Linked DNA regions of Canis lupus familiaris. The protein of the gene in region 5 interacts with the protein of the main gene of each other region in a biochemical or structural test. Links are inferred from orthologs where the notes say so. Each region holds a gene or a part of one and is shown on either strand. Other genes may lie near its edges.

Region 1 (6,478 bases), on a different chromosome or scaffold from region 5:
TATTATCAAATATTTGAATATCTCCAATAGTGCTAGACACTACTGCCAAGCACTGTTCAAACAGTTGTGAACAAGACAAAATCCCAAACTTCAGAAAGCTTACTTGCAGTATAGTAAAGAAAAAGGATGTTAAGGGTAACAAATAGGGAACTACAAAATACACTTGGACTAGAACAATGAGATGAAAATGAAGGCAGCAGAGTGGCTTTCCAATGTGAAAGAACAGCCAGAAGCTCAGAATTGTCAGAAGCTCAGAGGCCAAAATTCTACAGGGAATTTGAGAGGACATCATATGGTAGAATGGGAATCATTTAACTCAAGGAAATGAGGCAACATTTGAAATTATATTCTTTACTGCTTCTATTTCAACTAAAGTCAAATACGTAGCCTCCTGCATGTTAGGAGTTCCAGAGTTTTAAAGGAAAACACATTTACACTTTAAGAATAACTTTTTGTTACAAACAAAATCACCACTCATTTGATTCTCTGGGGATTAAGAAAAACTCAAAGTAGAAGACATTAGATATGTTATTCAAAACTTATTCTCAACTCAAACAAAATTTAGTTGAGAGGATTTAAGAAAGTATTTAAGCGATTAAAAAAATACAGTATTGGTAAGAAAAAGAATGTATCTCTAACCCGTGCACTACCTAAAGTTATTCATTACTATCTTACTAAATTCTTTCCAGTACTCCGCCCCTAGATTTTAGTAGTATTCCTTGTACAAATACGGTTTTGAAACACACTAAAAATATACTGATTGGAAATATCCCTCAAACAGACCTACATAAATTACTCTAATAGCAAATTGCTTTGCATAAAGGTGTACCATTTGTTCCTATAGAGTTTAGAACGTTAATACCAACTCTTATACAGAAACTTATATATTCTTTTTGGGGAAAAAAAAAAGTAAAGGGATTTTTACCCTTCCACTTGTGCCATATAAACATTCTTTAAAAACTTCAATGAAAGTACTACAGAGGGGAATGATCATATACAAGAGTTACTGGTTTTAGGGACACCTGGGTAGCTCAGTTGTTTAAGTGCCTGCCTTCAGCTCAAGTCATAATCCCAGAGTCCTGGGATCAAGCCCTATATCAAGTTCCTGCTCTGTGGAGAGCCTGCTTCTTCCTCTGAGCCTCCCCCTGCTTTCTCTCTCTCTCTCTCTCTAATGGATAAATAAAATCTTTAAAAAAAAAAGTTGTTTTAGAATTGCTTAAGCAGGTATACATGACATGTCATTTAAATCAAGGGAAATTAAAAAATTTATTTAAATTGGTTTAATAGGGATCCCTGGGTGGCGCAGCGGTTTAGCGCCTGCCTTTGGCCCAGGGCGCGATCCTGGAGACCAGGGATCGAATCCCACATCGGGCTCCTGGTGCATAGAGCCTGCTTCTCCCTCTGCCTATGTCTCTGCCTCTCTCTCTCTCTCTCTCTCTCTGTGTGACTATCATAAATAAATAAAAATTAAAAAATAAATAAATAAATAAATAAATTGGTTTAATAGTCTATTATACTAGTTTAGAAAGTTTGGGTAAAAGCACTTAAAAAGAATTGTACATGATTAAAAGTACACTATTAAACTTAATAGAATTCTACTGCCCTAGGCGTATCTGGGTGGCTCAGTCGATTAAGCGTCTGCCTTCAGCTCAGGTCCTGATCCCAGAGTTCTGGGATACAGACCCGCATGGACTCCCTGTTCATTCAGCAAGGAGCCAGTTTTTCCCTCTCCCTCTGAAGCTCCCCCTGCTTGTGCTCTCTCAAGTAAATAAATAAAAATCTTAAAAAAAAAAAAAAAAAATTCTACTTCCCTAACCTCTCCCCACCAAAACATAACACAAGATCTCAATAGTGTTTTCAAAATACAAATATTGCTTTAAGTGTTTAGTACTTAAAAAATATAAGATTTTTAGGGGGATGGGAGAGGGTTGGCAGGGAATCCTATCAGAATAATTTCAATTTTCTTGAAATCTGAACATTTTGTGCATATGTTACCATGTAAAGAACATATAATCAAGGCACATTAGCACTGAAGGACACCTTAAAGATTGGATTTCAATAAATATTTACAGGTTTTCATGTCCCAGATATTAGAGCATTACCAAATCATTTTTTAACTCTTTTATTATTAAAACCACTCACCTTCTCCAATTTTCTCTATTTTGGTATAATCTTCCATAGTTAATCAACAGATACGGTAGGATCCTAAAATGAGAGAAAAAATTAATTTGATCATATGCCACTAACTCAAAAGATGGTTTTAAGTTTTTAATGATAGTATAAAGCATTTTCCAGTGTCTACTGCAGTATTAATTTCCCATAAATACTAATTATGTTAAAACATTTACAAGGGAAGGGACCTTTGCAATAAGATTTTTCCACCTTTTTTAGCTCTTAAAACATTGGATTTGTATATCTTAGCCAGTGTAGTACTTTGCTTCTTGCAATCAGATTAACCCTCAAATTCAGGTATCAAACTTATCTATCCCTCCCAAACAAAAAAACAAGTGTGTTTCTTTATGTAACACTTCTAAGGAGCATCAATTTCTGCCAGTTATACCCAGCCATTTCCACAAATGTTATTTGTGTTAAGTAAGTCAAATAATGTTATTTGACTGAATTTGTACCCCTTTTCTAAGAAAATTCAAAAGGAAAAAAGTTTTAATGACACAAATAGAGCTACTGTGGCCGTAATAATCAACCACCATCAGCAAGACTGCTTAAACGTCAGTTGAGAGGCTGACAAGACCTTCAAGACGTCCTCAGCTGAGAAGTTTGCCAAAGAAATCTTCACTTCAGAAGCCCAGAGTAGAATTACCTTGACTTTCTAACACACTCATCCCTGATAAGATTACGTACATAGGTCACTGGGTAGTCGACGCTCGCACTGGTCTCCGGGATCATGCCAGAAGTAGAAGCAAGAAAATCTTTTTAAATGAACGAAGTTGCACTACACTGGCTAGGAGTTCCCATCTTAGACATTTTTAATTTTACAGAACGGTAATCATCCCTTCTACGACGCCCAGATTTAACACGCCTGACGAACAATCCAACTGTCGAGCTCGCTCTGAGCAAGCCTTTCAAAGCTGGGTTTCCTAGGCCTCGCCGGCTCTCCGTGTCGCTGCTGTGACAATCTCACAGAGAGGACGCGGCTTCACAAAGCCTCTGGAGGCCCTGCCCCTGGGGCCCGGCACCGCGACACCACAGCTTCGTCTCCTACCCAGAGGCCTCCAGGTCTTTGAAGCAAGCAAGCAGGCGTGCACATGGGGAGCTCTAGTGTTAAACAAAGACCGATCAGGAATACTGAGCACACGCGTATGTGCTTTCTCGAGGCGTTTCTGAGCCTTCCCTGTGGGCCGATGGCACAGCACATACAACAGCTTAGAGTCAAGGGGCCACCCCGAGCTTCCTCCTCCTCTGGTTCTGTCCTTGGCCGGGTCTCTCCACAGCTCCGGGCGCGCCAGGGCCGCGGGCGCAGGGAACCCCGGGGAGGCCCACAGGCCAGCGGGGCCCGCCGGCGCTCCCACGCGGGCACCTGGCCCAGGTGGGGTCTGGCCGGCCACGCCAGGGAGCAGGGCGGCGCGCGCGGGGCCCAGGCCGGAGCCCGGCAATCGGCGTCGTCCGGCCGGCGCCACGCCCCGACGGCCTCCTCAGCCGGCCGGCGGCCTCACCCGCCCGGGAGCGCGCCCGCCGCGTCGGGGCTCCCGCCAGCCTCCCCGGAGGGCCGGGCCCCGGGGCCCCAGCGAGGGCGCGGCCTAGGATCCGGAGGCCCGGCCCGGCCCGGCCCGGCCCCGCGCGGCCCCCCGCGGCCTCCCACCACCAGCCGCGGCCTCCGAGCCGGGCCCCGCGGCGCAGACGCCCCGCAGGAACGACCCTGACCTCAGCGAGGCCGCCCGCCTTACTGTCCCGCGGCGAAAGCAGCGGCCGCCTCCACGTCCGCGTCGCTCTCGCCTCAACTTCCCAGAGCCAGCTTTGAAGCGGAGCGCGAGCTGTTTCAAACTCACCGCGCTAAAGGGCCGGGGGCCCGCCAATCAGGCAGCCCGTAGACTTTCAAAGGAGCCAATCGGAGCTCAGCGACGCTCGGGGCTGGGCTTCCCGGGAGGCCGAAGCGCGAAAGAGGGTGGAAACGGCGGCTGGCGAAAAAGCAGGAGGGCGGGCGCCAACTGAGTCCCAGCGCAGGCGCTTTCTTTCATCGCTGGGGAGCGTCGTCCTACTGCTTCTGGTCGTCGGAAATCTACTGTTGGCCCTGGGTCGGGTTCTTCCCTGTTCAGTATTGGCACAATTAAAACGTACTGCACTCAGCTCTCTCATCACAAAAGCGATGCTACCTTGACATTCAGATTCCATCACTTTCACTTCTAATACTTAAAGCTACCGTAAATGGTGTTTTTCTAAGTGGGTGATTTTCCGGCTGGGCCAAAGGAATCCATTTCACACACGCATATATGCTTTGTTTTTACTTTATTTTCAGAATTTTAAAGTTTCCATTTACTTAAAATTCCATGTATTTAAAAATGAAAGACAAAATTTTACATTTTTAGATTTTTAAATATTTTCACAACAGAATTTTAGTTTTTTAGAACACAAAAATTCACAAGTCTTTGGGGGGGGGGGAGACCTAAATTATACTTTAAATAACTAAGTATCAAAAACTCTCTCTCTCTCTCTCTCTCTCTCACTGCCCTCCACAATAACCTTAAGAGAGATGTTTGCACTTGAACATCATTCTTTCAGTCTTTAAAAAATAAAATAGAACTGGCAATAAGAGTCACCTAATAAGGGCTGCTCTTAATGGAATGTAGAACAAGGATGGATTACCATGAACGCTACAAAGACCTGTCAGAAGAGCCAGATTAGGTGCTGGCTTGGACAGCAATGTGCTAAAATTGGAACAAAACAGATTAAGTTGGTCCCTGCGCAAAGATGACGCACAAATTCTTGAACTGTTCCATATACCAAAAAAAAAAAAAAAAAAGACCCAGATTAGGATAAACAATGAGCTAGTATATCACATGCATGTAAGTGTTTAGTACCTTTTTTACACAGTGAGAAGCATCTGTCATCTGGCACCATTTGTGGTACCAACACATGGTCTTAACAATTTTGTGCTCCTAGGTGACAGAGCACTTGGGGTTCACATTGGAGGTAGGTGGTTGTGAAATCTCTGCCTGAACCTAAGAACTTGTAAAACTTACTTTTCAACACCCAAGTTCACATTTTAAATGAAAATTGACTACCCCAGAGAAGTACTCTAGGGAAGATGACTGTTCTCTGTCAGTTCAGGGTACTGATTTTAATGAGTGCATGTAGATATTTCTCTCTGGGAGGCCTCAACAAGGCATTCATTTTATAGCACCTAATAACAGCTTATAATTCATTATATCCATTTTACATTCAACATGAAGATCACAAGCTTCTATAGCTGTGATGCTAGATTTTTCATTTTAACTCAATTATCTTTGTTTTTAAACTTTAAGGGGTTATTGTAAATTCATCCTAGCATCTTAGCAAATTCAGTTTATTAATTCTTTGGGCCAACTTGAATTTAGGGTCTCTAAAGTACTTTATGGACAGAAAATTAATCAGATACAATTCTTGCTTAGGCTTGGGGGTGGGAGAACACAGGATTAGAATTTTATGATGGTACTTATGTTGTAACTTATGCTATAAAGTGACATGAGAACAGAGAGAGGTAAATCACCAAATTCAAACAGACACTGGAGAAAGAACTGTGGAGTGGGGCTTCCAAACAGTAAGCATTGAAAATCTATCTGAATAATTCAGGATGCCTCCAATTGTAGGGTACAGGGAGTCCACAGGCAGGCGACCATTGGAGGCTGCAGGGCCTCTGGGATGTGAAGCAGGGAAGAGAGTTTGGAATGAGAATCTTGAAGAGCCCTGAATAATGTCCTAAGGGGCTGCACAAGAGAAGTATTTTTTTTTTCTTTAGATTTTATTTATTTATCTGAGACCGAAAGAGAGGAAGATAGAGAAAGCGTGAGTTGGGAGAAGGGGCAGACTTCTTGTGGAGCAGGAAGCAGGCAATAGGGGGAGATCCTCCACCCTGGGGTCATGACCTGAGTCTAAGGCACATGCTTAACTGACCGAGCCACCCAAGTGCCCCAGAACTATTTTAGAACTATTCTCCAGGAGTTGTGAAAAAACAATGAAAGAAGAGAGGATGGAAAGGCATGTGCTACAAAAAGTAGCATATTTATATTTCAGAGAATTCCATTTAGAAAAAAAGGAAAAGATCAGTTGGCACTGCATATAAGCTTTTTTTTTCTTTTTTTTTTTTTTGATATAAATATTGCAGGATACCCGGGTGGCTAGTGGTTGAGCATCTGCCTTTGGCTCAGGCCATGGTCCTGAGGTCCTGGGATAGAGTTCTGCATCGTGCTTCTCACAGGGAGCCTGCTTCTCTCTCTGCCTATGTTTCTGCTTCTCTGTGTGTGTCTCTCATGAATAAATAAAATCT
Region 2 (6,593 bases), on a different chromosome or scaffold from region 5:
GCTTCCTAATGGGATTCTCGTGTTCGGGGAGCCCCTGGGTGAGAAGACCTGGGAGGGCTTTTGCTCCCCTAGAGTCTGCGTGCTCGTGGGGGTGGGGCGCCAGGCGCGGAGCGGGGGCCCGAGAACTCGCAAAACAAACGAACAAACACGCCGACCCGCACGACGATAGTGTGGCTTCCGCGGGGGCTGCTTTGGTTACAACAGCCACGAAGGACCCTCCTTGGTGGATGGATAAACGGAAGCTTCCGCAGAGAGGCTCTCTCTCTTTTGGCCTGTGCTTCTCCAACCGCAGACCTCCGGCCGCCTTTATCGGGCATTTTCCGAGGGTCCTTGTTAAAAATGCGGGACCCCCCCCCCCTCCCCACCTCGTGAACCAGAAGCGCTTGGGCACAGGGGCTCAGGCATCTGTAGTTTTTCAGGTTTTCCAGGTGCTTCTCTTGATGGTTTGTGGGGATCCAGTGATCTAGACCAGCGCACACGAGTCGTCTGGGGAAGTTAAAATGCACAATCCGATTTGTTGGGTCTACGGTCAAGCTCGAAAGTCTCCATTTCTTACTTTCTTTTTTTTTTTTAATATTTTATTTGTTTATTCATGATAGAGAGACACACACAAACACAGAGACACAGGCAGGGGGAGAAGCAGGCTCCATGCAGAGAGCCTGAGGCAGGACTGGATCCGGGACCCCGGGGTCACGCCCTGGGCGGAAGGCAGGCACTGAACCGCTGAGCCACCCAGGCATCTCCGAAAGTCTCCATTTCTTTCTTTCTTTTTTTTTTTTTTTAATTTTAAAAATTTATTTATTTATGATAGTCACAGAGAGAGAGAGAGAGAGGCAGAGACACAGGCAGAGGGAGGAGCAGGCTCCATGCACCGGGAGCCTGATGTGGGATTCGATCCCGGGTCTCCAGGATCGCGCCCTGGGCCAAAGGCAGGCGCCAAACTGCTGCACCACCCAGGGATCCCCGAAAGTCTCCATTTCTAACACGTGTCCTCCAGATGTAGATGGAGCTACTGCCCCTGATTTGTAACGGCTCCATCTGCTCCTTAATCCTCCTTGTTCTCTGAATGAAATACTTGTCAGCAACATACTCATTGCTGCCCTCCTCTGAGTCCGTGCAGACACTAAGCAGTTTTGATGGAGAAAAAGTCTAAATGTGCAGAGCTATACAATCTTAGCACATCTCCTGTTCAGAGTAGTAGGACATGTGGTTTGAGCCGCAGGGATCTTGTGAGGGTCATGGGGTCATGGGACTCCTGAATCTCGCTGTGGACTGGAATCACTAGAAAGGCAGTTTTCCTGGGGCTCTCTCCAGAATCTCTGGATCAGAATCATCTTATTTCATTCTGTTTATTATTATTCATCTCTCTGAGAAGGAAAAGTATATTCAATTGGAACAAGTATCTAGCTTCTGTTGAAGACGATTGAATAAATGTTAGGCCTGTGTGATCTCATTGGTCTGCTGCCTGTGGTTGTTGGGGAAAGTGAAGAAAGCCTTAGAGCGTGTGTGAAATTAATGTTTGCATAACACAAGCTTATAACTCCTTTCTCCTTCCTGTTTCTCCTAACCTGCTGTTGGACATAAGGACTCCTCTCTCTTTAGCTGTGGTTCCATCTTCAAGGTGAAGTTTTTTGCTTATTTGTGAAGTGGATGTGAAAGCGTGGGGATGGGAGGCACTTTCTGATTGGATTCTAGAATTCGGAGAGCACCTGGGTAGGAAAAATACAGAAAGGTTTCTGCTTTCTTGGAGTTTATGTTCTTCTGATTTACTAGACTGTGCCTGACTCACAGTATGGGCTTAGCAAGTGTTAACTATTTTCATTATTAATATGCTTTCTTAACGGATTAACTCATTCCCCCAAACATTGGTGTAAATACTATGTGCCAGACAAGTTCTGGCAGGGGGCAACAGTAAACAAAATGAGTCTAAGCCCTTGCTCTCATGGAGCTTACTTTCCTTGGAGATACTGATTAGGGAGCTGGGAGGCAGAAGTAAGCGAGTACAAGTAACGTCATGTAAGGTGTTAAGTAAGGGCTATGCAGAAAAATAAAAACGAGATGGTTAGAGAGCCATCTGAGGAGAGACCTGAATGTCATGGGGAGCAAGCCACACTTGTATTTGAGAGAAGTGCCAAATGGGTAGAGAGAACAGGAAGTACAAAGGCCCTGAGGCAGTGCACTGCTTTGAGGAAAGAAAGAAGCCCTGTATGGCTGGTGTGCAGAACGCAAGAGGAGATCAGTCCAATAGGTGGTCAGAGACTGTAGGTCTGTCTGTGCAAGTTGAATTTGAATTGGAGTTGAGGGACCAGGAGGGGCTTGGCTTGTGAACTAAGGGCCGGCCTAGCTGACTTGTTAATGGGATCACTGGGTGCAGTGTTGCAAATGGACCATCATGGGGTAAGGGTGGAAGCAGAGTGACCATCGGGAGCCTGTGGCAAAGAAATGAGGGGAGAGAGCATTGATTTAATCAGGTGGTGGTATTAAATGTCTTGAGCAGTGATTTTGAAGGTAGAGCCTACAAAATATGCTGATGGATTAGGTATGGGGTTTGAGGGAGAATCATGTAAAAGATCAGTTAACCCAAGCAACTGGCAAGATGGGTTTGCCAGTAACTGAGATGGGGACATCTGTGAAAACGGGGTTGGGGAGATAGAGTAGGGAGGGAGCAGGAATTTCATTTGAGACATTTTAAACTTGAGATGCCTCTCTGGTTACAGGTGGTGATGTTTCATAGGTGATAGGAGTTCAGGGGAGAAGTCTGGGCTGAAGATGGAAGTTTGGAGGTCCTCAGCTTGTGAGTGCTATTGAGAGCCAGGAGACTGGATGAGTTTAATAGGGAATGAGTATAGCAGTAGAAGTGTTTCTAGGCCTGAGCTCAGGCTGCTCCTGAGAGCAGAGGGGAAGAGAAGCCGGGAGGAGAAAAGAGCTGTCTGGATGTGGGGGATAATGAACAGGAGGTAGGTAATAGTCTGGTAGTCAGGACAGGTTAGGGTAGAAGATGTAAATTCAAGTCATCTTAAAGATGTTTAGAGCCCTGGTTCTGGATGGGGGACCCTAGGAAGGGAATGGATGGAAAGTGGGGTCCAAGGACTCATTCATGGGTTACCCTAGACTCTCAGGTTGGCAAAAGTCAGACTGATGGAGCAAAGGAGGTCACAGCAGGACAGCTGGTAAGGTCAGGGACCACCCTCCAAGCCAGCAGAGGCTGGGAGTAGAAAAAAGAGTGACGCTGTCAAATGCTGCTGGGGACACCAGGGAGCCCAGGGTGCTGATTGGACCTTTGAATTTGCTAACATTAGAGGTCAGTCGTGAGCTGACTCCTCCGTAGGGACAAAATCCTGATGGGGGAGGGCGAAGAGCCAGAGAAATGGTGGATGCAGGGAGTGTAATGACTGTTCTGGAGCTTTGCTGTTGAAGAGTGAGAGGAAAGATGCTGTTCTATCTAGAGTATGTTATGGGGAAGAGAGAAGCTGCTTTTTTTTTTAAAAGGGAGCAGGGCTGGAAGCAGGCTCCTGCACTGTTGGAATTAATCCCCTAGAGAGGGGGTGGTGGAGCAGGTGGTCTCAGGGAGTGAAGTTGGGGGGTGAGGGAGGCCCCACACCTGTCCCTTAGGTTACCCGAGAAAGCAAGGCTCCCTTGCCAGCTTCATTTGGACAAAGAAAAAGTGTGAAATTCTGTGTTGTTGAGGCTTTTTCATCAGGAGCTATAACCCTGATCTAGCATAGTAGCACTTTGAAGCACAGGGATTTGTATAAATTAAAGGTGGCTCTTTTCTTTTCAGGCATTATGGACAAATCTAAAGAAAACTGCATTGCAGGGCCTGTTAAGGTAAGTTGAATAATCTTAAATTTTTTTTTTTTTTTTTTTAAGATTTTATTCATGAGAAACACAGGCAGAGAGGCAGAGACAAAGGTGGAGGGAGAAGCAGGCTCCATGCAGGGAGCCTGGTGTGGGACTTGATCCTGGAACTCCAGGATCATGCCCTGAGCCAAGGGCAGATGCACAACTGCTGAGTCATCTAGGCGTCCCAATCTGTAATCTTGATCACATTTATAAAACCCAGTGGAGATTGGTTTTTATATCTGGACTTCGTTTTACCTTTACTTTGGATTTTAACTTCAGAACTCTACTACATTCCTGGATGTCTGTCACTTTTTCTCTGCATTCAGTGACATTTTGTTGATTGTCACTGTAACTATTATTTTGTTCTGCTTTGTCTTCTAGCTAGCTGTTTAAGTATCTATATTCCTCCATTGTGTGCGGGATAATGTACACAATGGGTGCCTAATACTTGCTTGTGCTTACTTGCTTGCCAGAAGTTAAATTGCTTTGTAATAGTCTGTTCTGGTCATGATTCAGAGGACTGTCAAGCTGCATTTTAGTGAACATTTCTTGGGAACCCACTTTGAGCCAGGTTGTGTCAGATGCAGGGGTTATAATGATAAAAAAGCACATGGTCTTTGACTTCCAAGAGCTTATTAGCTCTTTGGTGGGTTATGTGAGCTGGTATCACACTTTCATAAAATATGTGTATATGAAATGACCTGAGTAATTCTGCAGAGGGATGTTCAGATTGGGATAGGTTGGAATCTAGAAAGGCTTCATCAAGGAAGTACCTCTGGCTCTTAGAATTTAAATGAGTCTTTATATAAAGATCCTTTAATATAAATATTCCCCAGATTTTTTTTTCCTTCTAGGAAAAGAGCATAAACATACAAATCTTGTTTCTTGTTTTGTATGTATGTGTTGTTTTTAGAAGTTTTCCTTTACTTTTTTTTTTTTTTTTTAAGGTTTTATTTATTTATTCATGAGAGACACAGAGAAAAGCAGAGACACAGGCAGAGGGAGAAGCAGGCTCAGGCTCCTTGCAGGGAACCTGATGTGGGACTTGATCCCAGGACCCCAGGACCCCAGGATCATGACCTGAGCCAAAGGCAGATGCTCAGCCACTAAGCCACCCAGGCGTCCCTAAAAGTTTTCCTTTTCTTTTTTTTTTTTTTTGTTTGTTTGTTTGTTTGAGAGAGCATGCATGAGTGGGGTGTGTGTGTGGAGGGGCGGCGGCTGTGGCAGAGGGAGAGGGAGAGAATGTTAAGGAGGTTCTAAACTCGGTGCTGAGCCTGACCTTGGGCTCTATCTCACGACCTCCTGAGATCACGACCCCAGCCAAAACCATGAGTCAGATGTCCAACCTATGGAGCCACCCAGGCTCCCCTATTTTTGACTTTTTCAGGAGCCTCCATACTGCTTCACCTGCACTGGTTTGTATTCCCACCAGTAGTGTGCAAGGGTTCCTTTTCCCCCAAGTCTTCATCAACAACTTGTTCCTTGTGTTTTTGGTGTTAGCCATTCTGATAGGTGTGAGAAGTTTTTCAAGTAAATGGATACCTTAACTTTTTTTTTTTTTTTTTACTGGCTAAAAGTCAATAACCAATTAGAAAAAGGCTAACTTGAGTCATTGTATCTGATTCTCAATTCCTATGATAAAGATCATTTTTAAAAGCTGCTCTGTTTAAAACATTTGTCGCTGCCTGTGGATGTCACTAATTTCAGAAGTAACTGACTTTTACTTGGAAGTTGGATACCTGTCTCTTGTGAAGCACCCATACCTAGTGAGCTTGTGATGAACTCTGAGGCTTCCCTTCCTAGCATTGTTTCCGTGTTTATGAGGAGATTTCCTCCATTGTAGTTGGAGGAAGTCCTCTACCCCATTTTAGTTTGACTGGTTCAAGGTCTTAGAATTAACTTTTTTCTTAAGCTTGTGATCCTCCACTTATTGGCATGTAAATAATGTATTTTGACCTAACTTTTCGAAGATCCTATTTGTTTCTTCTTTGCCATAGTTCTTTTGGCTCAGAACCATTTTGTAAATACTTGGACAATGAAACATTAATAAATAATAGAAGTATTTTGTGGAAATCTGGCAAATGCAAAAATTCAGTCTTTTAAAACATCTTGACTCAGATAACCACTGTTAAATATTTCGACATATTTGTCTTTTTTTCTAAACATGTATGGTACTGCCAAATAAATTTCAATGGAATTGGGATTTTGTTATAAAATTTTGGTATTGTTGCTTTTTGCCAAGTAGTAATTCCCAAATCATTGAGAATTCTTAGAAAGTGTTTAATGTCTCTCTTTTTAGATGGAAGTTTAGTTAATGAATGTTTTTGGGGGCATGGTTTTTTTGAGGTGGGTGGGAGGTATCATTCAGGTATTCCTTTCAGCTGTATACAAACCATATCCTCTGGGAGTGCTGATGAAAATAGCTTTCCCATTCCATGGATTATCATGGAATATGTATTTTGCTATACTAGGAAAACAGACTTTGTGGAATTCTCAAAACACTCAGCTTTTGTTTACGAAGACATGAAATTTATGTTTCCCTCCCAATCTAGACTGCAATTGCACTTGGTGATGGTCCAAAACGTGTTCTGGTGACTCAGCAAGTTCCTTCACAGAATCCATTATCTGCAAATAGTGGCCAGGCCCAGCGGGTCTTGTGTCCTTCAAATTCTTCCCAGCGAGTTCCTCCACAAACCCAAAAGCTCGTCTCCAGCCATAAACCGGCTCAGAATCTGAAGCAGAAGCAATTG
Region 3 (6,400 bases), on a different chromosome or scaffold from region 5:
TAGGGTGCTTCAACATTTATATGACAATGCATTCCAGTAACTAAGGAAACAAAAACATGCCATTAACAAGTTTACTTCATAGTGATAGAATACAAATTTTATATGCAACACATGGACTTTGGTATTACAGAACTTAACCTGTTTCTATAAACTATCATATGGTGTTACTTTGCTTATCTAAGAGAAAGTGTGTTGCGCCAACAGACCCTTTTCCTATAGCATTGCTTTTACTTTGTTTTTACTATGTATTTTAACTTTCTTGCCCTTAAACAAGATGAAAAAACTTCCAAGTTTCCTATCCAGGAAAAGTTAACCCAAATTTCAGTTTAAACACTAGAAATAAGGTTCTGTGCAACTCCAATCTTTTACCTGAATACTATAAAGGCTACAGTGTTGACCAAAACAAGACACAGGTTTCTCATTAAACTTTTGTTTTAATGGGTCTCAAAATTCTGTGACAGATTTTTGGTCAAGTTGTTTCCATTAAAAAGTACTGATTTTAAAAACTAATAACTTAAAACTGCCACACACGCACAAAAAAAAAAAAAAAACAAATGGTCCACAAAACATTCTCCTTTCCTTCTGAAGGTTTTACGATGCATTGTTATCATTAACCAGTCTTTTACTATTAAACTTAAATGGCCAATTGACACAAACAGTTCTGAGACCGTTCTTCCACCACTGATTAAGACTGGGGTGGCAGGTATTAGGGATAATATTCATTTAGCCTTCTGAGCTTTCTGGGCAGACTTGGTGACTTTGCCAGCTCCAGCTGCCTTCTTGTCCACTGCTTTGATGACACCCACAGCAACCGTCTGTCTCATGTCACGAACAGCAAAACGGCCTATTAAAACAAATTTTAGATCACTATCAGAAACTGTATCAGAAACTATACACAAATAGCACGTCCTAGTGCTTCAGTAAGTTTTCTAATTATGCTTAAATCATTCTTACCCAGAGGAGGATAGTCAGAGAAGCTCTCAACACACATAGGTTTGCCAGGAACCATATCAACAATGGCAGCATCCCCAGATTTCAAGAACTTGGGACCATCTTCCAGCTTCTTTCCAGAACGACGATCTATCTTTTCCTTCAGCTCAGCAAACTTGCAGGCAATGTGAGCTGTGTGACAATCCAGCACAGGTGCATATCCAGCACTGATTTGGCCTGGATGGTTCAGGATAATCACCTTGGAGGAAAAAATTGCATTTAATACATTTCAAACAGGATCTAGCAAAGAGAACATTGCCACTCTTAAGTGTGTTACCTGAGCTGTGAAGCCAGCTGCTTCCATTGGTGGGTCATTTTTGCTGTCACCAGCCACATTGCCACGACGAACATCTTTGACAGATACGTTCTTGACATTGAAGCCCACATTGTCCCCAGGAAGAGCCTCACTCAAAGCTTCATGGTGCATTTCAACAGACTTTACTTCAGTTGTAACATTGACTGGAGCAAAGGTGACCACCATACCAGGCTTAAGAACACCAGTCTCCACTCGACCCACTGGGACAGTACCAATACCTAAAATATTTAGAAGCATCGTGTCAGATACCTTCTGTGAAGAACAATCCATAAATCGTATTTTTAAATGGCAATGTTCAACTTACCACCAATTTTGTAGACGTCTTGGAGAGGCAGACGCAAGGGCTTATCAGTTGGACGAGTTGGTGGCAGAATGCAATCCAGGGCTTCAAGCAGTGTGGTTCCGCTGGCATTCCCATCTTTACGGGTGACTTTCCATCCCTTGAACCAAGGCATCTAAAAAAACAAGATTGTCCATTAGCATTCCCCAAACTGTTGTCATTTAGTGTCAACATATGCCTCTTCTATCACTTCCTCAAAGCCTTGAAGTCACTTACGTTAGCACTTGGCTCCAGCATGTTGTCACCATTCCAACCAGAAATTGGCACAAATGCTACTGTGTCGGGGTTGTAGCCAATTTTCTTAATGTAGGTGCTGACTTCTTTAACGATTTCCTCGTATCTCTTCTGGCTGTAGGGTGGTTCAGTGGAATCCATTTTGTTAACACCAACAATTAGTTGTTTTACACCCAGTGTGTAAGCCAGAAGGGCATGCTCACGGGTCTGCCCATTCTTGGAGATACCTGCTTCAAATTCACCAACACCAGCAGCAACAATCAGGACAGCACAGTCAGCCTTTAAAAGACAAAAAGACATCCTGTTAAATAAATGTTCCTCAAAAAGATGAACTCCCCCTTTTTTCCCATACAAAACCCAAGCCTACAGTTATTTTCAAGTAATCCTACAAACCTGAGATGTGCCTGTAATCATGTTTTTGATAAAGTCTCTGTGTCCTGGGGCATCAATGATGGTCACGTAATACTTGCTGGTCTCGAATTTCCACAGGGAGATATCAATGGTGATACCACGTTCACGTTCAGCTTTCAGTTTATCCAAGACCCAGGCATACTTGAAGGAGCCTTTTCCCATCTGTAAGGATTAAGAATGGTTACTTGGTAACTTAAACACAAACTTCCAACTTGAAATCCCTAACTCCTGCTTAAGCAGAAATGCGGATTCCACTTTACAGTTAGGTAGTTCTATCTCCCAAAGTTACATAGATAAAAAACTCTTCAGCAAGCACAAACAATCTACCACAAGCAGCAGATTCTGATAGACTAGTAACTAGTTTTGGGGAAGTTGACACTGGCCGACTTTTTTTTAACGATCTCTCATTAAGTTAGTATACCAACCTCAGCAGCCTCCTTCTCAAATTTTTCGATAGTTCTTTTGTCGATCCCACCACATTTGTAGATCAGATGGCCAGTAGTGGTAGACTTGCCCGAATCTACGTGTCCAATGACGACGATGTTGATGTGAGTCTTCTCCTTTCCCATTTTGGTTTAGGTTTAGCGGTGGTTTTCACGACACCTAAATTTTAGGGTAGGAACAAACCCTTTTAACTACTGTCCCGGAGGCTTGAAAATAAGCCACGACCAAACTCGCAGAGACCAAATTCCAAGAATTACAACCAGGGCCAAGCTGGCCCAACTCTCGTCTCCACCCACCAAGCGTGGGGTTAACTCCACCGCATAAAATCCCCTCCCCCCTCCGGGGAAGGCCTGCTTGTAAGGCGTTGAGGCGGAATGGAGGTGCCAAGACGGCGTTCGGTACACCGTAGGGTCACAGGAAGCAGCGGCCTAACAGGGAAAGGCCCTTTTCCTTTGTGTGGGTGACTCACCCGCCCGCTCTCCCGGGCCGCCGCGTCCTCCATTTTGAGCTGCCTGCAGCAGGGCCGGAGAGCGGCCATCTTTCCGCGCACGCAACTGGTGCCGAGCGGGCCGGCCTCTCCGCCCGGCGTAGGACGGTACATCGCGGCGCGAGGCCCGGCACCAGAGCCGCCCGGCCCACTCCACGGGACTCTCCCGCGTCCGACGCGGCGCCCACGGCTCGTGGGCCTTCCCCGCCTCGTCGGACATGTGCGCCGGGACGAGCGGGCCTCGTCGCCGCCCTCCGCGCCTCGCGGCGGCCCCACACCCCAAGAACGCGACGACCGCGGAAAAGCCCACCCCGTTCAAGTCCTGACCAACCTCCGCTCAACCATCTCGACGGAGAAAACCATAGCGGCCTTCTTTTGGTAGGTCAAACGTCTGGAGGCTTAAACCACTGTACGAGGGCAGGCAAGAAGGTGCGGCGGAATTCGCACGCGGCCGCCACAACACCCAAGCCAGGCCTCAAACCAACCACGAGGCAAAAGGGGTCCTAAAAAAAGGCGCAAGGCCTGGAACCTTCCCACCCACTCACAATCCGAAATTCGGGGTCAAGAACATCGTAAAGTGGCTCGGTGGCGCGGCCGTTGTAAAAGGCACGCGAGGGCCGCTGGCAGCTCAAAGAGGCCAGGCCCGCGGGAGCCACACCCGGCACTCACCTGTGTTCTGGCGGCAAACCCGTTGCGAAAAAGAACGTTCAAGGCGGCTACGGCACTTATATACGGTCCTCCCCCACCCTCGGGGAAGAGGGCGGAGCCAGCACACGACACCACTTTCCCAGTTTACCCCGCGCCAACTCCATCAGGCACCGGTTCGGTCGCCATCCCCTCCCCCTACTGCTCGGGGACCGTGGGCGATGTGCGCTCAGCCCACTAAAGAGCGCACATCTCCTCGCGCATGCTCCTCTTGACCCCGATGACGGCGAGAGTGAGTGGGTGGGGAGGCGGGGACGAGCTTTCCGCTCGTTCTATGTTAGTGAGAGTTTAACGACGGTCCCTGGGATTCCCCGAGGCTGAAGCGAGTCCTCCTTTGTATGAATTACTCTCAGCTCCAGCTGAAGGGGCGGGCGGGGGGGCGAGGAGGCGGCCCTGCGGGGAAGTACTGAATCTGCCCTCTACGGTTCCTGGTTTAACTGCAAAGATGGTGTGGCGATTGGAGTACGCCTTCCCTCCGCAGTATACCTCCAGTTCTTAACCTGGTCCTCTCCAAGGTCCAGGACTGCCCCTTTGAGCCGCTTCCTCCGCTCGTCGCAGGTCCGCCCTGGGCTGGCTCCTCCCTCGCCCCTGCCTTCTCTTCCTCTCGGGGCTGGAGAGTACAAGGCCCGGGCTCCCAGGGCAGCGAGGGACCCGAGGGGCCGCCTTCACAGCCGGAGAATCCGCAAGGGTTTCAACTCGGTGGCCGTGACCCGGACGAATGTGCTCTTGGGCTAGCCTTTTGGCTTGTTCCAGTCCGAGCCCGCTGCTTTTACCGAAGCCCGAGTCACACGTTCACCCCATATGGTACTCCAGACGTCTAGTTCTTCAGTTCAGAATAGATTTCAATCCCACAGTCTGCCTTTTAACTCTAGTTTCATTACGTTATAGAAAGACCCTATGTGTGTCTACTCTCGTGGTACATTTTTTCTACAGTGTACACTCATTTGATTGCTAGCATGAGCAACCTAAAAAGAATTTTTCAAATTCAGTCTTTCCGCATGATCTCAAGTAGAAACTAAGATCTACGGCTTCAGCAAGCTTATCCACCCAATTTCCTATCCCCAACACTTGCTGCGAATCACTGCTTCTTAAAGGTGGCCTAGCCCATTTAAATAAATTAGTTCATTTTCTGTTAAATGGATTTTAACTCCATTTGAGCATAAATTTAGGGCGAAACCGGATGAGGCCTTTTTGGTTGGCAATCAGGGCAGACTGAGAAATACTTTCAAGAAGGAACTTTTATTTTTAATGAGCTAGTTACTATATCAGTATGTCTCTTCCATGTGTGGAACATCACTGCAACTCCTCCAGCCAATCTGTTAACAAATGCTTGAAACCTACTATGTGTCCAGTGCTAAGCGAGTTCTGTGGCATGTGCAAAATAAATTCTCCTTTGGAGAGGAACCCACGATCAAATTGGAAGGGGAAAACTAATATATAAAACAACTGGGAAGCAGTTAAAGGCAAACTTGTATGGTGCTTACTTTTTATTTCATTGTAGAATATAGTTCTAGTCCTAGTTTTCAGTTACTTCTCACAACCCCAAATCCCTTTTTTACTTTGTAAATGAAATAAGTCTTCTGGGCAGCCCGGGTGGCTCAGTGGTTTAGCCCTGCCTTCAGCCCAGGGCGTGATCCTGGGGACCCAGAATCGAGTCCCACATCAGGCTCCCTGCATGCAGCCTGCTTCTCCCTCTGCCTGTCTCGGCCTCTCTCTCTGTCTCTCATGAATAAATAAATAAAATCTTAAAAAAAAAAGCATTATAAAAAAAAGTTTAAAAAAAAGTCTTCTGAACGAGCCTTCCTATATCTTCTTGTTTTACCACTCTTTGTAGATATAAGCTTCTAAAAATAAGGTTTTTTAATTTCTTCATTAGTAGGTTTCTAGCCTTCTCTTTCTAATTTTGAGAGTTTTCATGAAAGAACTTAGGCCATATAAAGTTTCCCTAGAAATTAATATATCTTTTTCCAGCAAAAAAGCATTCTCTATGTCTATTTTTCTAGCTTCTTTCCTTTCATAAATTATTTTTTCACGTTGTATTTTCCTAGTGCCCTTACCCAATCATATATATGTGGAATAAAATCATCTTGATATGCTTGTCAATATTTGTAATAAAATAAAAATGTGAGAAATACCAATTAAGATTGTTCACTACCAATAGAACAATGCAGATACCTCTGCTCTTTTTTATTTCCTTGGAGATATTAATGACTATTCTCTTGGAACTAGATTCCCATAGTCTGTCATATTTGTAATCATAGTAATATGAACTGCATGGTGTGCTATGTCAGACTAAGATTAGGATGCCATACTAGATTTATTACTTTCCATACCTTTTTTTCTTTTTAAGATTTTATTTATTCATAAAAGACAGAGAAAGAGAGGCAGAGACAGAGGCAGAGGGAGAAGCAGGTTCCATGAAGGAAGCCGGAGAAAGGAACTCCATCCCTGGACTCTAGAATTACGCCCCAAA
Region 4 (4,720 bases), on a different chromosome or scaffold from region 5:
CTTTTCCTCCATTAAATCACAAAATCATGATTAAAAAGTAAATCTATTTTGATTGTGAAGCTATTTCTAAAGGTGAAGTATAGGGGCAGCCCCGGTGGCTCAGCGGTTTAGCGCCGCCTGCAGCCCGGGGTGTGATCCTGGAGACCTGGGATCGAGTCCCACATCAGGCTCTCTGCATGGAGCCTGCTTCTCCCTCTGCCTGTGTGACACACTCTGCCTCTCTCTCTCTCTCTCTGTCTCAATAAATAAATAAAATCTTTAAAAAAAAATAAAGGTGAAGTGTATCTGTAAAAAGAGAAAATTACGTATTTTACAATAAGTGCAACATTAAAAAAACAAACTAACCAGAAACTATAAAGACTTTGCCTTCCTCTGGTATGACACTTTGGAAACACCATCATCATTATAATAACGTCAGTTAATAATTACCCAGTGTTGGTACCTACCAGGTACTATTATTCTAAGTGCTTTCTATATATTTTATCTATAATATTAATGAGCTGTTTCCAGTGGCCTGTAGTCAACCTCAAATAACTAGCATTATGATGGAATTGGTGCTAAATGCAAATGTCCCTTTTTAGCAATTATACACCAGTGCAGAAATCAAGTACTCAATCGAGTATGCTAATTTATATGCTTTTCTAAAGTTAGCTCAAACTGCATCTAATACTAGATTTTTAAGTGTTGCGATCTCGGTTTCATGATAATCTAAATTTAACTCTATAAAGTCCAAATTACCGGTATGTGGGAGTTTGAGGGCATTTAATCACTTCAGATTTGTATTCTTTTCAAAAAAAGTTTCCGTACTTTGCCATTACCTATTCCTACACCTGCATCAAAACATAAAAAAGCGCTGGGTGTAATAAGGAACAAGGGAGACGAAAGCTTACTGGTGTCAAAGAGTAAGAATTCTGCAAGAGAAAGGAAAAACGTAAATCGAGGTTTTCAAAGTAGCAGCCCAAGTTCCCAAAAGGCTTTTTTTTTTTTTTTTTTAACCGGTTGCACCACAACCTGCAAACTCCCTGCCCACGCCAATGTTGCAAGACCTTGAAAGCATCAGTGAAGCAGTCAGCGCAGAGCCTGGCATCACGTGCCTCCACACACACACTACCTTCCTGCCCATCTCCCGACCCAGCCAGGAAGACAAAGAAAAACCGACACGAATTTAGGCGGAAAACAAACAAAACCGGCTTCTGGGAAGAGGCCAGCATCGGCCGGTCTGGCGAACGCTCCACATCCCGGACGCGGAGCTAGATTTCGACGGGCAGCGCAGTCTCGGCCCCGCCGGCGCCTGAGGGGGGCGCTTCTGCTCCCGCCCGCCGCACGCACGCCTTACCGGAGCGCCGCGCCAGGCCGCCCGCGCGCCGACGGCTCACTCACGGTTGGCAGCGGAGGCGCCCGAGGCCTCATGGCACGCCTCGCCTAACTGTCACCCCGCCCCACCCGCCCAGCTCGACGCCGGAAGCGATGCGCCGAAAGGCAGCGCGCCGGAAGCGGCGTCACCGGGAGCGACGCCCCCTCCTTCCGCTCTCTGGAAGGTCCGGCTTTGGCCCTGCGCTCGGGGGAGCGTGCTGCGGAGGCTCCGGGAGCTGGGGCGGGGGAGGGGGGCGCCGGTGGAGTCTCGCCCTGTGAGGTCGCGGGAGTCGCTGCTGCGGCTGGGGCTGCGGCCCGGGCTTGCTGCCGGCCACTCCCGCTGGGTGTCTAAGGTGACCGGCCGCCCCGTTTCTTTCTCTGATCCCAGGCGCAGTGTTGGGAGCTCAAGCGGCACCCCTGGGAGACGGAAACCCCGACAGTGCAGCAACCACTGGAATGCCGAGCCGCCTATTCACTGCCCGGGCTGTAGGCCTTCCTCGCCCTTCCTCGCCGTGCCGCGTGGGCTCTGCTGGTCAGTACCCCACCACTACTGTCGTGGCCCCACATTCTAGTGCTGGTTTCCCTCTCTTCTCGATCAGGATGTCGATCCTTACCCAGATAAGAGGCCCGCCCACAAGGGACATTTTGCAGCACATGAAGCTTTGTAAATGTCAGATTTATTAAAGTATAATTTACATACAATAAAGCACAATTGGATGAGTTTGAGAAGTGCATACAGTCTTGGAACCATCACCAGTCATATAAGTTACATCACTCCCAAAACCCGTCAGGCCCCTCGGCAGCCAATGTCCTTCCCCACCCCCAGGCACACAGAAGGTCCAGTAACTAGAACTCAGTCCAGGTATTACAACAAAGAAACCTGTCATTTAAACCACCAGCACAAAATACACTGGGATAAAGGACTTTAATGAAGCAATTCTCAACGTGTACTATGCCAGTTTGTGACCCAATTAGTAACACTTCAACAGTCTGTTTCACAACTACTAGTCCCAAAAAAGGCTATTTATACTAGAAAAATCATTTTTGCACAAACCTATTGCTTGGGCCCTATCAAATCTACTAAATCTTTCAAGATTCTTTTAAAAGGCTCCCTAGGCTAAAGAAACACTGGCCTATAGCAATGCTAGTCTTCTAAAGCCCACAGCTTTGGATACAAAAAGCTTCTGAAAAAAGTGTTAGTTTTTGCTAAAAAAATATATAGGGTTTGGTCTACTCCCCTGTTCATTTCTTGAACTCAAGTTAGAATACCAAAATAAGTTTGACAAGTGAATCCCCAAAAATATCTTGTCACCTACTGTATTTGGAATACTTCATTTACATGAAATGGTAGCTTGAACTGAATTCCTTAGGATACTTGCAACAGTCCAAATGAAGGCACGGTCTTCTGATATTTGAAATTCAAAAAACCTTTATTTAAATTGAAAAAAATTATTTAAACTGCATTTAGAGTCAAAACCCTTTTGTTATGAAAATCACGAGAACTTTTTAGGTAAGGCAGAAATATTTCTAGGTTAACAAGTCCAGATTTGATTTTGTTCTTTAAACAAATTGTAAAGAATGAAGAAAAAATAGGTTATTTACAGAAAATATCTACATATGTACTCAGAGGTACAAATTTGATGACAGAAGAAACATAAGTACATGTTGGCATCTCAGAAGCAGTTCTTAAAGAGCTTAATTTTATTTTCTTGGATTTTAAGAAAAATATCTAAGATCCTTCTTCATCCTCAATCTTGGGAGCCAAGTAGTACTTTAAATGTCCCATATCAGCAATTTTATACTCTACAACTGAAAGAAGACAGGAACATAATTATTGAGAAGTACCACATATGCAATCTACAAAACAAGATTCAACAAACTGATTATCTTACCAAGGGGTACATCTGCAGACATACTGAGTGTTACTGTAGGAGAGAGCGGAGTGGCTTTTGTAAAGAAGTTCAAGTATCTCAGTGCAAAAGTTAGCTGAACTGGCTCATTCATCTCTATGGTAACCTGAAAGAGAAAACAAAAGATTAATCATATTGAAAAACATCAAGAAAGTTACAACTCATTAGTTTGGAATATACATTTATTTTTAAAGATTAGAGAGCAAGAGAGAGAGAGCGCATGCATGCAAGAGTGAGCAAGTGGAAGGTGTTAATATTCAAACACACTCCCAGCTAAGTAAAGAGCCCAAGCAGGGAGATCATGATCTGAGCCAAAACCAGGAGTTGGGAGCTTAACCGACTGAGCCACCCAGGCACCCCTAGAATATACATTTAAAAAACAAACAAAAAAACCATGTATTAGTTTCATATCATTCTTCAAAGTAGCCAATTTTGAGTAATGGTAAATAAAGCAAAAGACTCAGGTATTTAGTCTTTCCCATTTGAACTATATATAGCTCAGGTAAACAAATTACGTGATAAGAGAAAGCTCTTTATGGGAATGCTTTTAATAATTAAATCAGCTAATAAATGAATGAAATATATTATTATAACCCTAATGACCTAATGATTCTAAATGATTATTATGGCTAAGAAAATATATGTACACACCTCACACCTACTAGAGGTACACACACCACCATCTGTAGAGTATTCTTGCTCTCATTCCCAAAACAAAGAAAACACTGAATATCATCAAGCCTCCGGAGCTGTGGCTACCAGTTTATAGGAAATACAGGTTAGATAAACATATTAATTGACATAGGGATACAATGGGTAAAATCCAGACTTTGGGAAAACTCAGTGACAAAGGACTTGCTTCAACAATTGTAATGGGGGAGGGGGGCAGAATTGAATGGAGAACCAATGAATTAAAAGAAATCTGAGGGATGCCTGGGTGGCTCAGAGGTTGAGGGTCTGCTTTTGGCTCAGGGCGTGAATCCTGCAGTCCAAGGATCGAGTCCTGCATCGGGTTCCCTGCATGGAGCCTGCTCCTCCCTCTGCCTATGTCTCTACCGCTCTCTCTGTGTCTCTCATGAATAAGTAAAATCTTTTTTCTTTTAAAAGATTTATTTATTTATTTATTTATTCATTCATTCAGAGAGAGAGAGAGAGAGGGGCAGAGACACCGGCAGAGTGAGAAGCAGGCTCCATGCAGGAAGCCTGATGTGGGACTCGATCTGGGGTCTCCAGGATCACACCCCGGGCTGCAGGCGGCGCTAAACCGCTGCGCCACCGGGGCTGCCCAAATCTTAAAAAATAAAAGTAAAATAAATTAAAAAAGAATAGAGGGCAGCCTGGGTGGCTCAGTGGTTTAGCTTAAGCCCAGGGCGTGATCCTGGAGATGAGGGTTTGAGTCCCATATCAGGCTCCCTGCATGGAGCCTGCTTCTCCCTCTGCCTGTGTCTCTGCCTCTC
Region 5 (6,347 bases):
CCCTGAAACCGCGGCAGGGATGTTCCGCAGAAAGACCCGGAGCTCCCGAGAGGAGGCCCCAGGAGCCTTCCCAGGCCACGTCCCTGTTTGTTCCTTAAACACAGCTCTGCAAGCTGCACAGCCTTGGACTGCTGGTCACTCCCTGATCACGTCACCTCCAGCCTCTTATCCCAGCACCCCCCCTTTCAGCCCCGTGTTATCTCCCCCGAACACTGGTCCCGTCACTCCCGGCGTGAAGGCCTCTGCTGAGTCCCCAGAGTTTACGGGAGGAAGCCCGTGCTGCAGGGGGACACAGGATGCCCTTTGGAGCCGGGGCCTAACCGACCCCCCCCCCCCACACCTGATCTCTGCCTTCCCCTCTGCACCGGAGGCGCCCACAACCAGCCTTTGTTCCTCCGCAGGGTTTGGTCTTTCAGGGCTTCCACACCTTTGCACAGACCAGTGTTGCTGCCACCAACATCCTTTTCCTCTCTAGCTGGGGAAGTGAAACTCGAGTTTAAAGACCCACAGAAAGTGATGTCTCCACTGTGAGCCTTCTCTGGTCTTGCAAGTAACTTGGATCACTTGCTCCTCTTTGCTTCCTTAGCATTTTGCATATATGCTTCCTAGGACATTAGGGTCACCAAACAACGATTATTCAGTTTTTTTGGGTTTTTTTTTTTTTTGCAAGTGTAATCTCTAACACTTCCCTAACTGCAACCCCAACTCCTCTTAAACCACCTTTGGTTTTTGGACTTTGCACATAGTGTAGAGTAGGGCACCAGTAAAATGTCTGTTAAAGTAATAAAACTATGCCACGTCCAGCACAAACGTCTAGAAGCAGAAATATATACATACATGCACACCTAGTTATCCATGTAGAGACACATATACTACAGATAGATGATTTCAGAAGGGTTTTAATTTTTCCATATAAAAAAAAAACTTGTTTAAAATACATTCCGAGTTAAAAGAAACAAAAGCACACATTAAGAAACGATGCAATTATTCCATACCAGTTTATTGTAGGTATTGTGTTTCAAAAAATTTATAGCATAAATAACTTCTCCTGTCATAAAATAACTTAGTACAATTTATAATAAAACTTTTGAGAATTTAACATCTCATCAAAATACAATAAAATATGGTTTTAAAATAGGATTAACCCTTTCTGCTTTTCTTTTACTTGAGGGCATATAAACCAAAAATACCCAAGCTACTGCTGCACATTTGAACTTTAACAAAGCACATTTGGTTTATTTAAATGTAACTCAACCATCCTAAATTAATACATAGTTTGTTTTCCTTCCTGCGTGGTTCTTTGTAATTTTTGTTCCTTTTGACTTGTATTTGTTTCAACATAGCTTCCTTCTTCATTTTCACCTCTTTCCATCTGCAAAGTCATCTAGCTCCGGGCCCCCGGAATCTGTAGTTGAACTCACTCAGCCCCTTGACATCAGTTTCTGTAATCCTTGCATCAGTGTGGGGAGTAACTGCTTGAGTAACTACAAAGGTATTTCAAAACTTCAGTGCAATTTGGTTCAGTTATTTTCATTCAGATGCCATCACCGCTCAGGGAGGTTAATCACTGGAACCCACTGATCCATGTAGCGACTTTCCCGGCAAAAACAAATAAGTTGACTTAAGGCAGGATCCTTCCACTGTGAGGAATGGGGATTCTGGAAACAAATTGAGAAAAATACATTTACTATTAAAAAAGAAAAAAAAGGCAACATTTGCTAATAATTACACTCATTTCGAGGGAAAGACAACTTGAGCATTCTGTACTTTGGCTGTGTGACAAGAGACCAGTTACAACCATAAAAAGATCAACTTTTTTCTTGGTAGCTGATTTCTGGGGAAACCACTACGTAATGCTCTAAAGCACACCCTGCAAGCCTGCATGCATGCAGCCCTCCGCACCGCGTACATGGGACTGCAGGATGTTTACTGCGTTTTTGCAGGAAAGTAGCAGAGTAGCATTCAGAGGCTTGTCCCCTGGAAGCCACCTGAGCGAGAAACAGCTCGGACAAAGATCTCCATGCCCCGAGCCCAGGGAGAGGCGAGCCCCTAACAGTTCGCTGGAACTGCCACCTGTCATCCTCCCCAAAGACAGGGTGGTAGTTTTCAGGACACGCAAAATGATTAAGCCGCCACTTACCTAGACCAGCCCATAAGTAGCAGAATGTAAAAGACAAAACTGTCCTATTTATCTCTGGAAACACAAGTCATCTTCCCACCAAAGGTAGTCATGGGGGGGGGGGGGGTCCATTAAAAAAAAATCCAAGATTGCAAATAAAAAACAATCCCCATTCCGTCCTCTTCGTGTATTTCTAGGGAATTAATAAGGTCGGTCTCCTACACCACTTCTATTTTTAGCTTGGAGCGCTGGAGGACGAAGCCGACTCCTTAATGAGGGGGAGCCAGGAATTTATTTGGCTGAACCTAATCTGCCTGCTAAGGGAGTCGGTCACGGGAGGCAGCGCCGCGGAGGTGGGGAGGGGCCGCCCTGCTGACTCACGAGGCTCCTTCCCCCGCGGCTCCCGCGTGCTCGGACACGTCCCGGCCCGCCCGCCCGCCGGGATGGGGCCACACCTGTCGGCTGCGGTCGGGAGCTCGGCCCCGCCACCGACCCCGGGGCTCACCGGCACCAGGACCCGGTGCACCCCTGCGCCCCCCCCCACCGCCGTCACCAGGACGGTCCGGCCCTTCCCCCGTGCACCACCTCCGCACCCCTGTGCACCACCCCCCATGCATCACCCCCCGACCCCGTGCACCACCCCCAGCCCCGTGCACCCCCGTGCTCCCCCCCCCCCCCGCCTCACCGTCACCAGGACGGTCCGGCCCTTCCCCCGTGCAACCCCGCGCACCCCCCCCCCCCGCCTCACCGTCACCAGGACGGTCAGGCCTTTCCCCGTGCACCACCCCCAGCCCCGTGCACCCCCGCGCCCCCCCCCGCCTCACCGTCAGCAGGACGGTCCGGCCCTTCCCCGTGCACCACCGCGCACCACCCGCAGCCCCGTGCACCCCCGCGCCCCCCCCCCCCCGCCTCACCGTCACCAGGACGGTCCGGCCCTTCCCCCGTGCACCCCCCCGACCCCGTGCAACCCCGCGCACCCCCATGCCCCCCCTCACCGTCACCAGGACGCAGTGCAGGTCCGGGGGCTGCTCGGCGCCCTCGCTCGCGGGGCCGGCGTGGGGCTCGAGGAGCAGCAGCTCGGCCAGGCGGCCCGGGTTGCTGACGCGCAGGATGTCGATGTCGTTCTCGCAGCAGAAGGCCTGGATCAGGGTGAAGTGGATCTGCAGCGCCACGTCCCTGTCGTCGTCCTCGTCGGCCGCCAGCAGGCACAGCACCACGTTGTCCGGGTCGCTGCGGGCGGCGGGGGCGGCTGAGCGCGCAGGCCCCGGGGTCCCAGGGTCGCGCCCGCCCGCCGCCCCCCGCCCCCGGGCCAGGTGGGGGGCTCCGCGGGGGCAGGTGGAGGACTCACTCCCCGCGGGCAGGTGGGGGGGGCTCCCCGGGGGCAGGTGAAGGGCTCCCCCGGGGTCGCCTGGAGGGGCTCTCCAGGGGGCAGGTGGGGGGGCTCCGCGGGGTCGCCTCGGGGGGGGTCTCCGGGGCAGGTGTAAGACTCACTCCCCGGGGGCATGTGGGGGGCTCCGCGGGGTCGCCTGGGGGGGGGGGGTCTCCGGGGCAGGTGTAAGACTCACTCCCCGGGGGCAGGTGGGGGGCTCCCCGGGGTCGCCTGGAGGGGCTCTCCAGGGGGCATGTGGGGGGCTCCGCGGGGTCGCCTGGGGGGGGTCTCCGGGGGGCAGGTGTAAGACTCACTCCCCGGGGGCAGGTGGGGGGGCTCCCCGGGGGCATGTGGGGGGCTCCGCGGGGTCGCCTGGGGGGCGGGGCCCCACTCACACGTTGAGCAGCTTGGCCGCCTCGTACACGCCGACGGTGATGGTGCGCTGACTCAGGGCTTTGCTGAGCACCTCCTCCAGGGCGTCCCCCACCTTGTCCATCCTGCCCGGGAGCCAGCGCGGGGCGCGTCAGCCCAGGCCCGGCCCGCCAGCCGCCCTCCGACCCCATCGCCCTCCCCGAGGCCGCCGCCAGGGCCCGCGGGGAGGGGCGCGTCCGCCCGCCCGCCCGTCCGTCAGTCCGTCCGTCCGTCCGTCAGTCCGCCGGCGCCTCGGGGGCGGTGCCCGGGGCGGGCGGGGGGCGCTCGGGAGGCCGCCGCCCTACCTTTCGCTCTTCTGCTCCGCGGCCGAGAATTCCTCCAAAGTCATATTGCAGCCGCGGGTCCGCCCCAGGGCGCGGCGTGCGGGCTGCTCGGGCCTCTGCGGGCGCGCGGCGCCTGGCGTCTGCACCGCGTCCGTCGGCCCGTCCGTCCGCCCGTCCGCGGCCCCGCTCCGCCCCGCCCCTGCGCCCGCCGCCGCCGCCGCCGCCGCCGCCGCCGCAGCCACTGGGACAAAGGCCCCCTCGCCGCCCTTATGGGGCCGACCGCAGCCAATCACCACCCGCCTCATTTGCATGCGCACAGCCATTGGGTTATGCAAATCAGCCTGCTCCGACCATGTGACCCCGGCTCCAGGACCCGCGGGGAGAGGAGCGGAAGGGGGCGGAGCCACGCGGAAGGCGGGCGGCCTAGGGGGCGGGGCGGGCGGCCTAGGGGGCGGGGCGAGCGGCCTAGGGGGCGGGGCGGGGAGGGGGAGGGCGGGGCGGGGAGGGGGAGGGCGGGGCGGGGAGGGGGAGGGCGGGGCGGGTCCGGAGCCGACTCTGATCCGGTGGGAGGCTCCGAGGAGGGTGGGGGGTCTCTGCAGCGGCGGGGCAGAGGGGTGCCTTCCACTTGAGCCCCGAGCAGGCTGCCAACTGTTTTTCTGGTTGGTGCACATTTTTATTTTATTGTCGTTTCATGTCTTTTGTTTTTAGCAGTTGCTATTAAAGTCTATTTCCAGGGCTAATGCACCCAAGTCTAGTAATTATTAGTAAGCAGGTTACATAAAAAGAGTGTTTCAGACCTCTGGGGCAAAGTTGACTTCAGAAGTGTTGTTTATGTAAGTCTAGGCAAAGCTGCTTATTAGTAGTAGTATTATTTCGGTGCCCTGATGGCTGGTTTGATTTATTTTTGGAAGGTTGCAAGGGTTGGAAGCTCAAAAAAGAAAAATCAACACATTTGTGTTTGGTAATGGCACGGAACCAAGCTGGAATCTTTTCCACGGAAAGCAGAGAGGCTTCCCACCTGCCCAGGGTGACTCTGGAAACCGTGGTCAGGAGGGGGGCCGCATGTGCAATTGCTAGACTTACGACCCAAATTCACCTTTCCCGAGAGCTTTTCCCAAAGGAGGACCCTTCTGCACCTGCCCCAGCTAAGAGACACACACGTCTGACGCCCACACAAGTCTAAATTCAAAATACTCTCAATATGCCCTGAGCTTCCTTTCATAAGGCAAGTATGTCACTACCTTCCACAGAGAGCCTGTGATCTCACTGTGAGTTATTGATGTTAGATGCTGAATCATGAAGCTGCAGCTATAGGACCTTTTAGTCATACGCTAAAATTTCACCTTTGAGATAATGGCAACCTGTGGGTGGAAAGCAAGCAGAAGTTAACACACTTCTGAAAAGCAGACTTCAGTGGATAGACTTTGACTTCATAGGTTGAAAGTTCTCGCCTTTGTTTTATGAGTGTATGCGATAAATGCAGAAACAAGTCTTAAACCTATTGAAGTCACCAAAAGTGGTGAAAATGCCTCCCATATGCTCTCATTCGAAACAGTGCTTTGCATTATTAAGGTCTCTGGATAGCCAGAGGTCAGAGAAGTAATTTTTTGCAAAGGTGCATAGGAGTTTTTGCACCTGCATGTTTGTATCATTCTAGACAAAATATTCTCCAGCTCTCTTGATCTTAATTTAGTGGAAAAGAAAAGTGATATGTTGGTTTTCTGGCTCATTTATTTGAGCTGACATTTTGCACTTAATCCCTAACTGCACCGTCAGCAAGGGGCCGTGTTTGAGTGAAGGAATGGCCATGGCCAAGGGCTAATTTACCCAGGGGTGCATGTGGATTTCATACCTGTGTCCTAAATCCTAACTTGTAATGCCTTTGTTAAAGAATTCCTTAAACCTGAAATCTAGGTGGGTGCTGAAATACTTTCAGTTCTGCAAACCAAACCCGAGTTACAAATAGGGCCTGAGTCATCGTTCGGAAACTGTTGAATGTGTTCTATGGAACTTCAAGGTTCTATCCACTAGGTGTTTCTTACAGGTTCTTTGGAAGAAAGTGTGATCACAGCAAGTGACAAAGAATTAGGGAATTATGTGAGTTTATTGATAGCAGGCCCTGTGACTTCCTGAACTTAGTGTTCTCAGCATCTCATGCAGTTTC

The links.
Region 1: the proteins of GADD45A (region 5) and CDK1 form a complex in vitro, tested with the Homo sapiens proteins (5 studies listed by BioGRID). The link is inferred for Canis lupus familiaris from reciprocal best matches to the Homo sapiens genes GADD45A and CDK1.
Region 2: the proteins of GADD45A (region 5) and AURKA form a complex in vitro, tested with the Homo sapiens proteins (2 studies listed by BioGRID). The link is inferred for Canis lupus familiaris from reciprocal best matches to the Homo sapiens genes GADD45A and AURKA.
Region 3: the proteins of GADD45A (region 5) and EEF1A1 form a complex in vitro, tested with the Homo sapiens proteins (2 studies listed by BioGRID). The link is inferred for Canis lupus familiaris from reciprocal best matches to the Homo sapiens genes GADD45A and EEF1A1.
Region 4: the proteins of GADD45A (region 5) and PCNA form a complex in vitro, tested with the Homo sapiens proteins (4 studies listed by BioGRID, with this or other methods). The link is inferred for Canis lupus familiaris from reciprocal best matches to the Homo sapiens genes GADD45A and PCNA.

What each region holds. Positions count from the first base shown.
Region 1 is NC_049225.1:13,553,507-13,559,984, reverse strand, and holds the start of CDK1 (cyclin-dependent kinase 1), read right to left. Parts: upstream 4,090-6,478; 5' UTR 4,005-4,089; exon of another isoform or gene 3,880-4,004; intron 3,503-3,879; exon of another isoform or gene 2,860-3,502; intron 2,206-2,859; 5' UTR 2,180-2,205; coding exon 2,143-2,179; intron 1-2,142. UniProt on the Homo sapiens protein: Plays a key role in the control of the eukaryotic cell cycle by modulating the centrosome cycle as well as mitotic onset; promotes G2-M transition via association with multiple interphase cyclins.
Region 2 is NC_049245.1:42,345,534-42,352,126, reverse strand, and holds the start of AURKA (aurora kinase A), read left to right. Parts: upstream 1-2,722; 5' UTR 2,723-2,769; coding exon 2,770-2,794; intron 2,795-3,781; coding exon 3,782-3,828; intron 3,829-6,395; coding exon 6,396-6,593. UniProt on the Homo sapiens protein: Mitotic serine/threonine kinase that contributes to the regulation of cell cycle progression.
Region 3 is NC_049233.1:35,819,452-35,825,851, forward strand, and holds the start of EEF1A1 (elongation factor 1-alpha 1), read right to left. Parts: upstream 3,829-6,400; intron 3,714-3,828; coding exon of another isoform or gene 3,605-3,713; intron 3,542-3,604; coding exon of another isoform or gene 3,441-3,541; intron 2,895-3,440; 5' UTR 2,861-2,894; coding exon 2,717-2,860; intron 2,454-2,716; coding exon 2,274-2,453; intron 2,160-2,273; coding exon 1,863-2,159; intron 1,762-1,862; coding exon 1,611-1,761; intron 1,525-1,610; coding exon 1,268-1,524; intron 1,190-1,267; coding exon 955-1,189; intron 845-954; coding exon 720-844; 3' UTR 1-719. Other genes in the region: uncharacterized protein LOC119874198, read left to right, coding at 3,441-3,541, 3,605-3,713, 3,829-4,159, 4,486-4,731. UniProt on the Homo sapiens protein: Translation elongation factor that catalyzes the GTP-dependent binding of aminoacyl-tRNA (aa-tRNA) to the A-site of ribosomes during the elongation phase of protein synthesis.
Region 4 is NC_049245.1:16,934,368-16,939,087, reverse strand, and holds the end of PCNA (proliferating cell nuclear antigen), read right to left. Parts: intron 3,370-4,720; coding exon 3,246-3,369; intron 3,163-3,245; coding exon 3,083-3,162; 3' UTR 2,011-3,082; downstream 1-2,010. UniProt on the Homo sapiens protein: Auxiliary protein of DNA polymerase delta and epsilon, is involved in the control of eukaryotic DNA replication by increasing the polymerase's processibility during elongation of the leading strand.
Region 5 is NC_049227.1:77,927,590-77,933,936, forward strand, and holds GADD45A (growth arrest and DNA damage-inducible protein GADD45 alpha), read right to left. Parts: upstream 4,399-6,347; 5' UTR 4,249-4,398; coding exon 4,205-4,248; intron 3,986-4,204; coding exon 3,884-3,985; intron 3,350-3,883; coding exon 3,115-3,349; intron 1,659-3,114; coding exon 1,545-1,658; 3' UTR 975-1,544; downstream 1-974. UniProt on the Homo sapiens protein: In T-cells, functions as a regulator of p38 MAPKs by inhibiting p88 phosphorylation and activity.